2 linked regions of the Drosophila melanogaster genome follow. The protein of the gene in region 2 interacts with the protein of the main gene of each other region in a pairwise test. Each region holds a gene or a part of one and is shown on either strand. Other genes may lie near its edges.

Region 1 (6,326 bases), 700 kb from region 2:
GGAAGCCAAACTTACGCCATAATTGCGGCAAGCGATATGCGTTATTTCCGGCAGACACAGATCCTTGTTGCAGTAATCCGTAGATAACGCCTCCTGGCTGATAAGGACTATTATAAGGACTGAAAGAAGGTACAACATCTGGTGCCGATTGCTGGAGTCAAAATACAAAACTATTTTGAAGAAAACTGATCTATCTATACAGCGTAAAATCCATTGTAACTGCCTAAATGCAGCGTGACAATTCTATAATATATAGAGCTATTACTAGTTTTATTTCCAACAGACAGCCATATTCAACAAGGAATCCAAAAAGCTAGAAGGTTATTATTAAGATATAAAATTTACAATATGTGTAAAACATTGGAATTTCGCATGACTCAATTAAATCAAGGTAATAAAAACATAAAACATAATTGCGCATCTCAACTAAGAAAATAATAAATAAAAACTTTCGATTGGAATGTAAATCCACTAGTAATCTTTAGAAACCCATTTACCCACTGCTTTTTCATTGGCAAAAACATCCGAGTGCAGAAGTAATTGAAAACATGTTTGCATTTCTTGTTTTTGTGATTTTGTGAAAGTGCACATCGAAACAAATGTGCTTCAGTTGCATTTGATGTGCACTTCACTGGTTTATTACAATTAACACTTCATGTAGTTCAGTTTGGTTTTCGTTTTGGATTTGCTTAATATAGATGTATAAATAGAAGGTTGCGCTTAAGTTATATGTACACTTTACATACATCACATGGAATATAAAAATGGCTCGTTGTGCGATCGCTTTCACTTGGTTTTTTACCAGGAGTTTGGAGTTTTTTATGCAAGAAAACATGGAAAGTAAAGTGTTCAGCTGAGTAAAAAAGCTATAACGAGACGGAAAGGGGATCCTCAGTTCACAGTGCGATTTCACTGGCCAAAGTGGGGATTGTAGGGAGCTTGCTTCTCATATCCAGCGGGCATAACACTAGGTCCTGGATTAGCCATGGACATGTCATACGGCGGCGGATTCATGTTGGCAGCCCCGGCGCCAGGATACGTCGGATACGCCACGCCATGCGTTTGCTGACTGCAATGGATAAAAGCATATCAATTAATATTTGCGTTTCGCTGGAGCACTAGCTTCCACTTACCCCGGCATCGGCATAGGCATTGGCATTTGCTGCTGGTTCTGGTGGCTCATCGGCATGGGCATCTGCACAGTCACGTTGCTGCTGGGAAAATGGGGACATTAGAATAGTTTGCGGCAGCACTTTAGGCTCCGTACTTACCCGGTGGTCTGTACGGGGTACGAGGTCGCAGTTACGTAGGCATTGCTCGATGGATAGCCCGGCGGAGGCAGCTGTGTGACCGGATATCCGCCGGGAGCCGTGTGGGTGGCGGAGGTCACCACCACAGGCGCTGAAAGTAGAAAGAACGGAAAAAAAGAAATTAGAAACAGAAAATAGCTGCGCCAATGATTCTGAATCATCGCCAACCGCGAATCGCAGACTCGATAAGCTCCCACTTTTGATTAGACTCATCAGTGTGAACAAAAATTCCCCTTTCAGCACTATAAAAAATTTTCAATATTATATTAATCTAAATTAATGTAAGTCATAAAAACTTGATGTATATTATATTTTGCTTTTTTAATTTCATTTGGGGTTTTTTTGGTGTAATTTCTGTGCTTTTTTTTTTTTTTGAGCTTTTAATCTTATCCACTCAATTTATTTATAGAAAAGGGTAATAACAAGCCCGTGTCACGTTTATATGCACTATAAATACATTTTGTGTTATAATTAATATAAAAAATATTTTTAAAACATATACTGCCTGTATCGAAAACCAAGAATAAGAAAATACTTCACACTTAGACAAATAAGATAAGGCTCAACAAAATTTGCTGCACCACTATTTCTTTAAGTGTAATTGGCAATCCATTCATTGCTCAGTCAATGTAATTACCAACGCCTTCGCTGATTGTGTAGCCAACATTTCGCGCTGCTTTCTGCCTGCGTCTAATGCAAACAACGAAGGAAGTAATGAAAAATATGGCAAAGGCTATAGATAATCCAACCCAGAATGCCCACATTCTCGATAAGTCAGGGAATTTAGCTCGAAAAAACACAATCGCTTTCCAGGCGAACACAGAACAGACTGCAAGTCCTATGTCTGACAAAACCCACTCACTCGGACCGCGTCTAATCAATGTTCGATTTTATGGCCAATACGATAAGCGGGTGGTGTACTTGCATTATGGTTTTGTTTATCTCTGATATTGGCAGTACGAAACAGCTTCAAAATTACATAAATCATAAAACATAAATAACTCTTCCCGTAGCTGCAGCTATTTACCCATGGATCTGAACTTCTTGGCTATGCAAAAGAAGCAGAGGCACATCAACGAGGCAATCACTATGAAGACTGAGACTGCTATGATGGGAATAACAAACGGCTCCATCGCGAATATTATTCTATACACGCTGAACTGGTGCTACAGCGTGGAGTTCACGATTTCAACTGTTTCATGACATTGGGGTTTTTGTGTTTTTTTTTTTTTTTTGTGTAAATGGGAGATATTGGAAACCCATTGGACGGCCGCGTTATCGCCACAAACGGGTGATCCCCGAAAACACACCTGCACCCTTGGTGAGCGCCGCTCTCCGGGTTCGACCACGGGTCAGAAATACAGCCGCGGATGTCATGAAAAATACGGAGAAGGTGAAGAAAAGTATCCAGTAGATGCCCGAATCATCCATGATTATGATACTGACTGAATAAGCGGTGCACAAAGACTAAACAAAAGCGAGAAACTAAAGCCGCCGGATTGGCAATCGAAAAAGTGCCAGTAATGGCCAAAGAAAAGGGCAATCACACTCATAAAGATAGCACTTATCAGTGATAACAGTACACTTTCAACCATTATCATAACTTACTTAAATCACCGAGAGCCTGACGACGCTTCCAATGTAGTGCAACCAGGCCGATCAATGCCAAAATGAATATTTTGAAGGTTATGCGAAAAACGGATATGAAAACCACAGAGCGTTCCTGGGACTCCAGCAAGGAGCTGACCTCCGTTTCGTTATTCATTTCGGGAATACGTTTACAAATTGTTCCAATATCGAAAGTCTTCCGGATTTCGAGCAAGATTTAAGGCATATATCACAACAAGGGCAACCAAAACCGTGAGGATACAAGCTTCGTATGCCAGAAATGTCCAGTTTATGTGCAGTCGCTGGGAAATGTCCTCAAACACATCCAATATGGTGGCATTCATCGTGAGGACCTGCGACCTAACTAAATGGGTTTCATAATCATTTTCTGAATTACCCTGCATTTCGGGATCAACGTACGTCAACACTCAATCCTTTATGACCATTAGCCATTAATACCTAATTATTGATTTGCGTTTAGGCGTAAACGAAGCATTTAGTGGCACATTTGGAAATGGAATCCGAAATAGTAGGGAATCACAGTCGTTGTTATCAGCATATATTGCACAAATATAACAATAACACCCAGTCATTACCCACTCCAAACCAAGTCCTAAATCTCAGTATACCAAGATAGCCGGACTATTTCACAACAGAGGCTTTTAAAGTTTAGGATACTGGATAAGAAATTATTTTTAATTGTATTTGGAGGGGAAATTAAAAGCCTTAAATATGTCTTACATCTTTTAATATTAACTCGGATTTCTCATGCAAAAGACTTTACTTCTAGCTAAAGAACTAAATTCGCACACAATCCAAAATTTCTTCTAGACAATGACTTGAATATTTGAACCATAAATAAAATTGACAGTGCAGATAGGAAGCAAAAGCACTAAACCTTGGGCAATACCCATTATTATCATATATTTATCAATTTACAAGATCAAGTTAGGAAATCTAATGCAGACGCTTTGAATGACGTCTTCGAGTAATGGATTTAATTAGAAAAACAAGTTTTTCAGTGTATTAGATGCAGATACCGCTATCATGTGAGTTTTTACCTCTATTTACATGTGGCAATAATGAACAAAGTGACTCAAAGTGGACAATACGCAGAATAGTTTCAAAATGTTGTTAATTTTATCATTAAAAATTATAATTATAAAATAACTACATGCCACTTGATCTAACTACATAAAGCGGAAATTTTTGATTCATTAAGATGTGTCTCTTTTTAAAGCAGACAGCAGCATAAAAATAATAAGTACGGTATCTTAATAATGGGTTACCAACCTTTACAGTTTTTAATCTCCTTTCCAATTTTTAATCGTAGGCATATACAAATGGCCCCAATACAAATGGTCAATACAAAAATCGCAAACACTATAATCAAACTAAAGTCGTCTTCATTTGAATTCGAATTGAAAACATTCACAAAAAGAAAATTCATGATTGCACTGCAAACGCGACCTATAGACTAAGATAACTATCTGAAACTGCAATTATCTGTGAGTGTTAATAGATGCTGAAATAAGAGAGTTGGCTTATCGTACAGATACGTTAAGAATTGCTCTTACCTTCCGTCTTATTGCGTTTACAACAAGAACAACAACACTTGCAATAGCCCCAGATAAAAAGCATAAAAATGATTGCTATTAATCTGGCACCCGCTTCAGGAAGTTTATCGACACTTGGAGCATCGTATTTAGGTGGCGGTGGGAATTCTAAAGGAGGCATCTTTTTTCTAGTAAACACGTTTGACTGCAACGAACTGAGTAAATGAACTGGTCGAACTGTGTGTCTAAGCTCAGATCTTTTTGGACTGAATCTGGGAAAAAATTCAATTCACTAAGCCCTTTTTATTACGATAAGAAAAAGCGGACGAAAAAAAATATGCATGTTATCGTTTAGACTGTGTGTAAAATATTTATCCAGAATACAGAAAACTTATATAACCAGCTGGATTTTCAGTATTTAACAAGTATGGATGAAACAAGTACTACTTAGCTCTTTGTTTAATTTTAGTAATTTAGTGAACCATTCGCACATTTTTGCAGCGTACTTTTAGGCATAACCAACCAGAAGCCGCTAAAATACCCAATAAATATAAATTCTTGTCTTCTTTGTCTTTCCATCTGCTTATAGAGTCTTTGATATGTGACATCATAAATGGTCTCAAATGTATAATACATTTATTAAGATTTACAACGCACAACAAGTACGTAGTTCAATAAAAAAAACAAATTTGCGATCGATTTGAAATTTATGATTTAGTCACTATGAGTCAGAATTACACTCCATTTCCCAATGAAAGCAGTGACAACTACTATGAACTACAATATTACACCGAAGATGATTGAATTATTTGAAATTATAATAGGCTGACAAAAAAGGAAACTTTACGATCGAGCAGAGGTAAATGCAGTACAAAAACAATACATTGAAGAAAACTGCGATTGAAGTATATTTTGCCATTATTGGTCAAATTTTGCTAAATTCCAAATCCCTACCGATCCGAACGAAAGGAGCAAAGAAACTAAAATCTTAAATCACTTTAAATAATTACTCATACGCATAATATACAAAAGGTAAATACCACCATTCGCTTAAAAATTTGATTAGAATAATCATTACTCACTAAGCCGCACTCAAAAAAGTTTAAAAGATTTCATTACTTTTCTATGTGTATATCAAAAATTATGACCTTTGAATAGAAGTTTTTTAAACTTTTCTAAATTACTAAGAACGTAGTAAAACAGCAACATAGCGTTAATGCACCGAATGAATCAAAATATTTAACCAAAATTTGTAGAAAATTAAAATCATGGAAGCAATAAAAAAATAAAATTATTTTTTCAGTACCACATTCTTAAAAAGTACCATTATTTTTTTGAGTACGCTTAAATGTTGTAAACGACTTATAGTGGCTGCATCCGCTTTTTTTTTAAATCTTGTTCTTAATGTTCTGTTCACATCAGAATTAAATAAAACATATATTTTAAGTTCTTAGCAAAGGCAAATAGTGTATCCACTTTTTTTTTGTTTACGAAAAGAAAGCTACTATATATAAAGTAATTTTCTTAAACTTTGAATGTCGTCGTTTTTGTAAACTTTCTTATTTATTAAGCAGTTGATTCGGCAATCTTGTAGTGTTACAACCATGTAATAAATAACGAAACTAAGTAGTTAAACATAAAAAATTAAATAGATTGTTCTCCGTTCTCCATTTTGTTGAACAAAACAAGACACAGGAACTTCACACACGGAGCTTCGTCATCTGACAATTGGGAAGAACACAGGACAGCAACAAAGGATTTCTGCATCGAACTATACTAACTTGCTTCAATCACATCCTTGCCCGCCAGGCGCTGTTTCCTTTTGCGGATCACGTATCCTATGATCATTGCC
Region 2 (3,688 bases):
CATTCTGCAGCTTGGAGTCCATTCTAGGTGGGAATTTTCTATTGATGTCCACTATAACAGCGCTGTCTTGTCCATAAAAACGAGGCAGCATCGACACTCTAGCCTGGATGCACTGCACCATGGCCAAGGACCAGAGAAAACGCATTAGCACACCAATCATACCGTTCACTTCAAATGTTTAAGGACAACTAACCAACGAGATAGTTCAAAACCGTTTGAAGTAGACTTTCAACTCTGGCGCAAATCTCGTTTTAGGGAACCCACCATCTGTGCTACCTCTGAATTCATGGGAACGTGCTTGGAAGCCTACCTGCTGGGTCATAGAAAATCACGCATTTCCATTGAATTTTCCACCTACGCGACGAGCAGGAATGCGATTACGCTTCGCTACCTGGTTTTTGTTAACAAAAGAAATGGTTTTTCATGAGGGATTCGAATTTCAAGGGCTAAGGAAAACGGGGAAAATCAAAGGAAACTAAAAAGAGACCTAGATAAACAGAGTCTCCTCCAGATGAGGATGAAATACAAATTTCCGTGGTATATTTCAACAAACTAAAACATGTTTTATTATCGTAATTAAACCTTAAAGTGGAACACTCGATGGCCACGCGTATGGTACAAATTGTGGCCATCAAATCCAGTCACAGATCTCTTAGAAACTAGGAGGAATTCTAAATTCGCAAGCTTTGCCCGAAGGATGCGTTTGTGGGATAGGTTGTATTTACACAGGGTTTACGTACATGAATTTTGCAGCGGAAAACAAATTGCAAACAATTGAGAGACACACGCCATGTAAATTGGTTTAGGGGGGGGGGGGGAGTACTGGGAATTTTACATGCCTCTGGGCAGCCGCATGGCTATCAACACTTCGACACGCCCACCAAGGCCGGACGTATGCAACGCTCGTGCAGTTTGTAGCCCAGCTTGGTCACCTCCACCACGGTGTTGGGCTCGACGGTCTTGTCCTCCTTCTGGAACAGCGCCTCGTGCTGATTGGGGTCGAACTTCTGGTTGATGGGATCCAGTGGCTCCAGTCCGTGTCGCTTGAACACCTGCAGCAGCGAGGCGCGCGTCATGGTGAGGCCCTCGTACAGGTTCTTCAAATCAGCATTGCCGCTGAGCTGCAATAATTAAGATCATTAGTAAGGGTAGCTTTAAGAATGTTAATGCAAAACGATTAAACTATCTATTAAGTCTAAAATGGCTAACAAGTTATCCAAATATCTCAATTTAAAATACCCCAACAAATCTATATGTACAATTAGATGTATGTAATGCAATCGGGTTTGTTATCTCTCAGATAGAAATGGAAAGATCGGGAAAATACACCTTAAAATGCTATGAAGATTTTCAAGTATTGGCAACAAATAATTACGAAATTCTTATCTCAACATATGCAACTTCATTGCGAGTCTGAATCCTTAAGATACCTTAAACCTTAAATCTTAAGATAAGATAGTTTGTACCTTATCCTTGGGCACCGCCTGTGTGGCATGTCCCAGTGTGTCCGCCACCTCGAGCAGATCCTTGCAGAAGCTCTGGATGCCAAAGATCTTGGCGTCGCTGATCTGTTTGTTCAGTCGGTTCCTCATGTTTTCGCTGTCGGCTAGCGAACGCTTGTATTTGTCCATTAGCTCGGCATTCTGCTCCTTGGCGGCGGCCAGTTCCTTGGTGAGTTTCTCAACTTCTGGCGACGATTCGGTGGCCTTCTGCTCTGTCGCTTCTTCCGGCTGTTTCTCTGTGCTGTACAAACGCAGGGCACTGGTTGTGTGGTAGACGATTGGGAGTGAGACGGGAGGCAATGTTAGAATTACATGCGAAACGACAAACGTGCGCCCTCATTACGTCACAGATAAGAGGAAGCAATGCAACCGGAATTACCTCATATTTTGAGAAGTGACCGATGACCTCAGGTGGACGAGTCGCCGGCCAAACATCTGCAGTGGTAAGGCTGCCTTTGCTGACATTATGCTTAGCTTTTTCGTACGTTAAATAAACTTATTCCGCTTTTGACGTAAAATCGTCGGCTTCACAGCTCTCTCAACAATCGATGTGTGTTCGATAGTAATTGTTTATCGATTCCACCCGGTGTTGCCGCTTAGTGTGACCGCAGCGCAGCTGTAGAATGCAACAGTCAAGTCGGATGTAGAATAGATGTAAGCTCGGATTCATTCATGTAAAAAATTATTTACATTAAATCCAAAGAAAATCTCTTTATATAACTAAAATACTTAAAAATAAATTAAGAAGGAAATCGGTGCAAGTAATAAATAAATATTTAAATAGCATCAATATTACCAAAATGAAATCAAAAATGTATGAAATTTTACCACTTTACACACTTAAACCCAAAAATGCAATAAACAAACAATTATTATTAATAAAGAAATCCCTACTTGATCAGTAGTTCCTGACACCCCTGAGAATTCACCTTGGTCATAAATACAAATTTAAAGCGACAAAATATTTCTTATATAAAATGGACAAACGGAATATGCAAATGGCATATAAAAATGTGAAAATGTGTATCGACAATATTGGCAGGCGCAGGTCCACTTAAAATCGATCGGTGTTAATGCAAAAATGGGCCTATATTCTTGGCGCTACCTTCGGACATATATTATTAAGAGTGCGCCACCGGCTATTAATCCACGCATAGCTTATAAATCGATCTCATACCAGATCGGCCACGCCCCGGGGCCGCCAAAATATGGACCGCTCGAAAAAAGTTGCTCTGGAAATGTAAATATCGGAAGGCTCTTAATGAATTCAAAGTACGAGTGTACGAGGCGGGCATAGCATCTATTCAACAACTTACCTCTCCGATCGCACTGCCAAGTATTACATATGCGCATGCATTGTATATATTTTGGAAAACGAAGCACGAGAAGTCACTTAGTTGGATCTCGCCACCGGAACAACGAGGTTGTCGTCTCAAAACTCGGTTTTTTTTTCATACTTTTCCAATAAAAAAAAACAACAAAAAATGCGTGAGGAGGATCTCCAATTGGCCCTCCAAATGGTGGCAAGTACCTCGGTGTCCAGTTCTCTGGAGGAGGAAAATGATGGAGCGGCAGCCACGTCGCCGGGCAACTCACCCAAGCCATTGAGAAGAGTCCTGGATTTGAGTGAGAGGCGTAAACAATTCAGGTGGGTGGACTAAGAAAGCTTCACAGGAAGGGAAATAAAGAGGTAAACATAGTAAACATGTAGTTTAGACTAGGTTTTATACAAAAACTACAGCTAAAGCTAGTTTCAACAGTGTCTATAGTAGATTTCCTATTAAAGAAAGATTCCAAGTGCTATTAATAGCTATCTGTGCAATAAAAACACATTAAAAAACAATATATTAAATGATATTCTTAGATCTAATTAAAGTTTTTCACACAATGCCATTTCTCCGCCATATAGTTGTATATTGTTTATAAGCGGTTCTAAAAATAAACAACAAAAATGTTTGTTTGAGAGGTTAAAAGCACTCAAAAACACGTACAAATTAGGCTAAAAATAAAAATGGTGTTTTCACGTGCCTGACTAATTTGCAATGCCAAGTACACTCCTTTGTCGACATTAATTATGAATGACGAATGCTCTTCTGAATGACGAAGGTGAAGACATCCGTTGGGTTTTTAAATTTCGCGCTTACTTTCGCGATGGGCCAAGAAATCGATGCTATCGATTATTTAAT

The links. The genes of interacting proteins can lie anywhere in the genome.
Region 1: the proteins of Roe1 (region 2) and CG17574 interact in a two-hybrid assay, tested with the Drosophila melanogaster proteins (one large-scale study listed by BioGRID).

What each region holds. Positions count from the first base shown.
Region 1 is NT_033778.4:12,848,828-12,855,153, forward strand, and holds CG17574 (uncharacterized protein), read right to left. Parts: upstream 4,714-6,326; 5' UTR 4,656-4,713; coding exon 4,496-4,655; intron 2,756-4,495; exon of another isoform or gene 2,742-2,755; coding exon of another isoform or gene 2,621-2,741; intron 2,517-2,620; exon of another isoform or gene 2,444-2,516; coding exon of another isoform or gene 2,338-2,443; intron 2,122-2,337; exon of another isoform or gene 2,075-2,121; coding exon of another isoform or gene 1,948-2,074; intron 1,402-1,947; coding exon 1,272-1,401; intron 1,215-1,271; coding exon of another isoform or gene 1,212-1,214; coding exon 1,134-1,211; intron 1,070-1,133; coding exon 910-1,069; 3' UTR 531-909; downstream 1-530. Other genes in the region: CG30486 (uncharacterized protein), read right to left, coding at 16-138.
Region 2 is NT_033778.4:13,552,460-13,556,147, reverse strand, and holds Roe1 (Roe1), read right to left. Parts: upstream 2,072-3,688; 5' UTR 1,968-2,071; coding exon 1,882-1,967; intron 1,762-1,881; coding exon 1,467-1,761; intron 1,122-1,466; coding exon 861-1,121; 3' UTR 542-860; downstream 1-541. Other genes in the region: link, read right to left, coding at 1-160. UniProt on the Drosophila melanogaster protein: Essential component of the PAM complex, a complex required for the translocation of transit peptide-containing proteins from the inner membrane into the mitochondrial matrix in an ATP-dependent manner.